2 linked regions of the Ovis aries genome follow. The protein of the gene in region 2 purifies or fractionates together with the protein of the main gene of each other region. This does not show direct contact. Links are inferred from orthologs where the notes say so. Each region holds a gene or a part of one and is shown on either strand. Other genes may lie near its edges.

Evidence for each region. The genes of interacting proteins can lie anywhere in the genome.
Region 1: the proteins of ATP2A2 (region 2) and CANX purify together in Homo sapiens (co-immunoprecipitation; 3 studies listed by BioGRID and IntAct, with this or other methods). This does not show direct contact. The link is inferred for Ovis aries from reciprocal best matches to the Homo sapiens genes ATP2A2 and CANX.

What each region holds. Positions count from the first base shown.
Region 1 is NC_056058.1:1,408,577-1,412,225, forward strand, and holds the start of CANX (calnexin), read right to left. Parts: upstream 2,810-3,649; 5' UTR 2,628-2,809; intron 1-2,627. UniProt on the Homo sapiens protein: Calcium-binding protein that interacts with newly synthesized monoglucosylated glycoproteins in the endoplasmic reticulum. It may act in assisting protein assembly and/or in the retention within the ER of unassembled protein subunits.
Region 2 is NC_056070.1:54,247,060-54,250,734, reverse strand, and holds the start of ATP2A2 (sarcoplasmic/endoplasmic reticulum calcium ATPase 2), read right to left. Parts: upstream 2,807-3,675; 5' UTR 2,182-2,806; coding exon 2,064-2,181; intron 1,368-2,063; coding exon 1,350-1,367; intron 1,264-1,349; coding exon 1,181-1,263; exon of another isoform or gene 449-1,180; intron 1-448.

The DNA of each region.
Region 1 (3,649 bases), on a different chromosome or scaffold from region 2:
ACTTCAAAAGAATTTGACTCCAGTCACAGATAACCATTTTACTACTACTTTTCATTCCTCTGGATTACATCTAGCCACAACATCAAAGCACTTAATAGTGGGAGGGAAGTACAGAAAACTCAAAGGGGTCCTTACTGTAAATGCTCATCCACTAAAAAAATAGATGTACACTGCCTAGTTCAGTTCTGAATTTTGCTTTTCATTGACAGGAACATTAAAATGTATCTTCCCATAGCACTTTCCTTTTTTGTATAAACTAAGTGGATTTAAAACGTGGATTCCCAAAACATTACTGAAGATTCTAAGTTACTTAAAAAAATTAAATTCTCCAAATAATTTTCACAGTTAAGCTTAATTTAAAAATCATCTGTTATAGTTAACAAAGCACTCAGCCTGCACTTTTCTGACAAAGTTCTACTGTTATAGTTAACAAAGCACTCTGACAAAGTTCTACAGTGAGCTGTACAGGTTGTAACTATGTGCAGGCACTGTTATTATTTCCTAGGAGTTGTTATGAGCTGCCAATTCTTCTACTTGCATAGTTCATTACTCCATTCAAAGCAGTTTCCTGTTCACCATCTTATCTGTCTCTCCTAAAAGATCCCTAATGGTAAGGTATCCTGGGCACTGCGTTTTAAAGATATGGAAACTAATGTTGTTCATTATGCTAGTTACCTCGCTGGGCCTGGAATTCAGGCTCCAGCCTGCATTTCTGCTTACCAACTCTCACTTCATCCCCTTAAGCTATCTCTCAGGGCAAAGTGAACTCTGTAACTGAAAGGATGCAAGAGCATGATTGCCAAAACTGCAGCAACAACCTCTGTCAAAACGTTTACCCCTCAAGGTCCTTGGAAGATAATGTGCTAGTTGAAACTGTTGAGTTAAGATAGTCAGGTAGGGAGATACTGACACTCATTATCAGACAGGTCAGGAAATGCGCTTGCTGCGCCGCACATTTACTCCAGTACACCGTTCATTCTGGCCATCTCATAATCCAGTTCCCTGACTTGTTTGCTTGGGGTGCTGCACAGAACTCCCACACAATTCTCTACCTCTGCTCTTACTACAGCAAATGGACAACTCCGCAGTGATTCTATTCATGGCACTTAAACATGGCTGTTAAAAGACTGACATACAGAATGATCTTAAAGATCAATACAGTTCCTCCCTTTTAAAAAAAACCCGAAACAAAACAAATCCTCCCGCCCACTAATTCTTATTTAAAAAACTAAGCAAAGTGTTCCATTTCCTAACTCAGAGGTAAAGAAACCTAACTGTGGCTCACCTTTGTCCCCCCAAGCTTTTAATATTCAGCTCAGTTTAACTTCCTCCAGCCAGCATTCACTTGTGTCATACCCAGCAGTTAATCCACTAAGTCCAGTTTCTTCCTCCTGTATCCATTAAGGTGACTTCAGGTCCCAGAACTTAACCAACTCAAAAAGGAGGATGTTGATGTAGGGGACCAACATCACTCAGGCCTTAATTTATTTAAATCATCTATCAAGTAGTCAAAGTCTCTCCTGTCCTTTTTTATACACAGTTTAGTGGCTCAGAGGATAAAGCGTCTGCCTGCAATGCAGGAGACTCAGGTTCAATCCCTGGGTTGGGAAGATCCCCTGGAGAAGGAAATGGCAACTCACTCCAGTATTCTTGCCTGGAGAATCCCATGAACAGAGGAGCCTGAGCAGGCTACAGTCCCCGGGGTCGCAAAGAGTCGGACACGACTGAGTGACTTCACTTCACTTTAGTTCTAACCCCACCACCATCAGATTTTATATCCATTATTTGGAGAGAAGTAGGGTACAGAGAAGTAAACTGCCTAAGTTCATATAGCAACAAACGACAGATTAACGACCTGAACCAGGGCCTTAGCCTTAACCATCAAAACTGCCTCAACTAAAACTCCAACGTGATCATAAAATTAAGCCCATGACCTTGAGCCAATCATTTCAGAGCTCTGGGCCTCAAGTTTCCTCCACTATAAAATGACTTGCCCAGAGAGCTTTCGGGTGCTTTCCTGCCAGTCTTTGTGAATTTACAAACGAGATTACTTTCTCCTCATCCATGAAGAGATATAATTAAATGTCAGGGCCTAAGTTTTCCAGCCCCTGCGTGTTCTAGCACATTCTCCATACTCCACTCTTCACTCTGTGATTTTAACTTTCAAATACTGAACCTCTAATGCTAAATATTCTCTCTCGGCCCACTATCAACTCTTCCCCACTACAAGGGACATCGACTAGGCCCGATCCTATTCCAGACCTTTACCCAGTTACTCCGGGCACTTCCCAGCTTCACAGGTAGCCAGCAATAGGCTTAAGAAAGCCCTAGAAGCAAAGCCAGAAGGAGAAGTTAGCTTTCTCAGAGGTCAAAGGAGGTTCTAAGGCACCTGCCACGCCTCCCGACCCCGGTGGCGCGGCCTGGGCCTGGCTCCCTGACTCAAGCGGCCCAGGTCCCGGCCTCACACCACACGGCCGGAGCGCCAGACTGGGCCTGAGCTTTCGAAACCCAGCCGGACCCCACGGCCCCGGCCACGCCCGGCTCTCCAGGCCCCCGGTGGCGGCGCCGCGCATCCAGGCCCCCAAGAGTCCTCGCAGGCCCGAACACAAGCAGGCCTCCCGTCTCACCTCGAGCCTCAGCGGGACGGCCGGTGGCGCCCTCGCCTGCTCCCACCCGCACAACCGGCCCCGCGCCGCAGAGAACACAGCCGCCGAGGCAGCGCAGCAGCTGAAGCCGCACGACCGTCACGTGCCGCAGCACCAAGAGGCCTTGACTCCCGCTGCCGCCGCGCGAGCTAGCCCCAGAGCACGAAGCCCGGCCCTGCGCCCGCCCCTCGCTCCTGAGTAGCTACAGCTAGCGCCAAGGCCAGCGCCCCCGCGCCAGCTTCTGAATTCAATTGGTCAGTGCGACCATCGCTCTGAGGACTTTCCCTTACGCCCCCTAGGGCTATTCTTCGTGGAGCGTGGGGATTGGCTGGGAGTGAGGCAGGAAGTGGCCGTTGGTTGGGCGGTACGGAAGGGGGCGGGCTGGGGCGGAAAGGAATACTCCCGGGCGCGCGCGCCCTGTGGCGGGACCAGCCCTTCAGGAGTTCCCGCGCGCGGTTGCGCTGGTTCCTTAGTGGGCGCGCTTCCAAGAGTTGCATCTCGCTCTGTGTCTGTGGTTCGCACACCTTCTGTGCCTAGACCCGGGCCTCGGAGTCTGGCACTCCGTTCCCTTCGTTGGAGGTCAGATGTCAGCTGGCAAGGAGGGATGGGAAGTCTGGTGAACCATCGGGAAGGGCCTTGCCCCCGATGCAGCGAGTGCCCAGCGCCAACGGCTCCCTCGCTCCGGCCTAAAGTCGACTGCACTGCGCTGTGTAAGCAGGCGCCGCGGTTCCTGCAGTGTCATTGCTCTAGGCCCAGCAGCCTGAGGCCACCTTGTTACCCAAGCTCAAATACAGTCCGCAGTACTACGCTGCAGGTTTATTTCAGTTTTCAATTTGTGATGTTTTCCTCAGTAAAATTATACAGAAAGGGCACAGAGACACACTGACAATATTGAGAGAAAAAGATGGTGCGATGGAAAGATTTCAAACACACCGCAAGTTTTGTAATTCACTTTGAGCATATTTTCAGTTTTGAATATGCTGAGAACCTCAGAAAATTGAAAT
Region 2 (3,675 bases):
AGAATTTGAGAAATTTCAAAAAAGCTCACCTCTTGCCAATTTTTTTCCTTCACCTAAAGTAAACAAATGCTCATTGCTTCATGTATTTAGTTCTCAAAATAGCCCTCTGGAGTAAGGTTGTCAATAAAGACTGAGGTAGATCCCTGAGGCTTGCATGCATCTTTTGCAAACACACAAAAAAGAAACCCTGTAGCTGTGTCAAGTTTGCAAAGCCTGAAAAAAGTTAGCACATTTCTCATCCTGGTTTTTATAAGAATAAAATACTGTACTTTAAAGAACAAAAGGCATCTCTTGTTAGGATTAAGAACATCTGTGTCCTATTCATGACCATTTTTAGGAAAACTTGGAGGTCCACTGCTCATGAGAAAAAAAATGCAATAAAACGTTAATGCTGAACAGAAAAAAAAAACTGTAAGAATCTAGAATTATCCTTTTCAATGCCCATCACCTTTCTTCTGCTGTTTGCATTTCACCAGTTTCTTAGCAACCATACAGGACTCAAGCCGGTAAGCACACACAGAACATGAAAAAACAATGTTTTTTTTTCTTTTAAGATCTAGAACCAATTGTACTAAACCTTATTCTCTCAATCTAGGAGCCACTCAAGACGGGGGTCCAATTTAGATAAATATACTACCCTAAAGGTCAGTGACCAAATTTGGTCAACAGTGGTGCCATCACTGCCGTCATCATTCTTGTCACTGTCAGAAACAACTGTCACCTTGCCATTACCAGGAAGGGAGAGCAACTGGAATATTCCTTTTGTAAGTTCTATTTACAGACTACAAAGAGCCCATCATCATCTTAGTATGATCTTACACAACGGAAGAACCCAAAACAGAAAAAGCCTTCCAATAAGCAACTTTTAGATATTAAAAACTGATAAACCACAAGAATTTATAAAGACCCTACCTGCCACATTTGGCAACAATTTCTAAATGGACTGCAAATGTCAGGCATTCATTTATTTTCTGTACAGGAATGGCGTGTTCTATTTATAATTTTCAAATACCTAGGGTATTTTTAAAAAAAACAACCAAAAACCCAAAACCAAAAACAAGAAAACACAGCTTAAATCTCCAAATAAAATGTTCTCACTCAATAGCTAGATATTTCCTGCTTTTTCATCTAAGGTATAGTCTCAACTTTGGGGAAAGAAAAGAAATTTCTTTATACTTACAAAAGATATACATGCTGCCAACAATAAAATTCTAACTAGTAAGTCTTCAAACTGCTCAATCACAAGTTCCAGCAAGGTTTTTCCTGTTAGAAAGAAACATATTTGTTGTAAATGTCATCTTAAGATCAGCATGGCGAGGGGGCAGAAAAAACATGTTAAGATTACTTACCTTCTTCAGCCGGTAACTCTGTAGAAATTCATCAGGCAACGTGTCAAGAGAAGGAAAAGAAAAAAAAATTTAGCACTCTTTCCAAAAAGAATTACTAAATTATCACTGTCTTTGAAAGATGCACCTAGATGTAGGAACATTCAACAGTATTTAATAGAAACCATATCAAAATGCTACCCCAAGAAAATATGCAATACTTGCTGTACTGATCTACTCTGAAACGTGAAATCTCATCAATACCTAAGCAGGGTTTCTGAAACAAGGAGTCATTTCAGCCCTGTCATCACTTCTGCCAGATGTGTAACTTTGGGTAGTAGAATGGTCAGAGGCATTCTCAACTACAGCGACGCCTCATAAACCGGCTAGGGACGAGAAAATGTCTCGCAGGGCTCAACCCAGATGCAGGAGGCTCATCCCTCCCTCTGCCGGGGCCAGCTGCTGCTGGTAAAGAGCCGCCGAGCTAGCTGCGTGCGGTAGAAGGTCAAGGGCTGGAGCCACGCGGATGTCGAGACGAGGCGCAGACCCGACCTCGGTGCCCCCCGCCTGCAACCCCTCTTCTGCGGGGCCAGCGCGCGGGCTCAACCCGTCGCTTGCAGCCCTCGGCGGGCGCGGAGCCGAGACCCACGAGGTGGAGCCCGGTCAGCCATCTTTCCTGGCTCTCGGGCCCGCGCCGAGCCTCGCGGGGCCCCTGCAGCCCCGGCGCCGGGTACCTACCGTTGGAGCCCCATCTCTCCTTGAGCTTCTTGACCTGCTCCAGGCTCAGGCCGGTGCTCTCGTTGACGCCGAAGTGGCCCAGCACTTCCTCCACCGTCTTTGTGTGCGCGTTCTCCATGGCTGCGGGGGCCCGGCCGGCCTCGCCTCCAGTCCCCGCGGCCTCTTCGTCTCCGCCTAGCACTCGGGCCGCGGGCTCGTGCCACCCCGGGCGCCCAGGCGCGGACTGGTCTCTCCCCCTCCTTCTCCTCCTCCGGCCGCTTCCGCCTCGTTGGGCGCTGAATCACCCCGCGCCCCCTCCCCCAGACAACCGCCCCTCTCGCTGTCCGGCCCTCGCCGGTGCCCGCCCCGGGCACAGCTGGACGGTGGGCGGGGGGGGGGGGGTCCTGACCCTCCCTCCCCTCGTCAGAAGGGAGGGCCTCCTTCACCCTCAACCGCCCGCCGGGAGTGCAGGCCGCGGCCCCGAAGCCCCCTCCCCGTTCTCCAGTGGTGATTCTCAGCCCCGCCCGGGCCGGAGGAGGGGGTGCTCTGCCGACCCTTGAGAGCGGAACGGAGCGAGGGAGGCGAGCCGGCGGGATGGTGCGCGGAGCGCTCGCCTAGTCCCCTCAGCTCTGCACCCCCGACAGTAGCTGAGGAAACTGCGGCTGAGGAGAAGGAGGTGGCGTCGGGGACGGCTCCGCGGCGGCTGCTCTAATAGCATTTATCCGCGGCTGCCTCCCCTCTCGCCGCCGCCGCGGCATGTGGACGCCGCTCATTGGCCAAGCGGGCCCAGCGCGGCGCGGGCGGCGCGGCCCCGCCCCCTCCCTCCGGAGCCCTCCCTCCCGCGCGACTGGCGCCCACGCGGCCGCGCAAGCCCCGCCCCCTCCCGCGCACCGCCCCCAGGAACCCGGATCGAGGCCTGAGCGCGCCGCGCCCGCGCACTGCAGCCTGCGGCCGTCTCTTCGGCGGAGCGCGAGCTCACGGCCTCTTTTTGGCTCTTGAGGATCACGATTCCTACCCGGCTCAACCACCTGCAGACGTAGAAGCCAGGAGGGTGGAGGGCTCACGGTGCGCTTGCTGCACTCGCTGCCCCTAGGGAACTGCCTGCCCTTCAGAATCGGTCTCGGGTTGGGGGTGGGTGACCGGGAAGGCGAGGCCGAAGAACCTATGAACTCGGTCCGCGGAGAGCTTCCGGAAGCGTGCTAGGGTTGGTGTCCTTGGCTCGCTCCCTCGCCCTCCGCCCCCAGGGTCGCGCTCTGCGTCCCTAACCTTATATCTTTCAGAGCCCCTCTCAGGAACGGAGGAGAGGAATTCCGCAGTTCACATCCCACGCGGCCAAAATCCCTCATCTGTCGCTTCGGGAACACCGCATCCCACACCCCTTGCCGAGAGCTCCACCGCATGCAAATAACCAGCCCTACCCCAGCGCCTTCTGTGCTCAGAGGGAATCCCACTCTGGGGAGAGGAAGAAGGAGGTTTTATTTTATCCTTAATACCCCACACAGCTTTTGATACATAGAAGTCACAGTTTACACTACTGTAACTTAAATAAGCCAGAGTTGAGCTAGAAGGTGCGTTGCTTGGACATTAATCAGGCTATTTTTATTTTCTAGACTCCCACTTTCGTTGGTAGCAG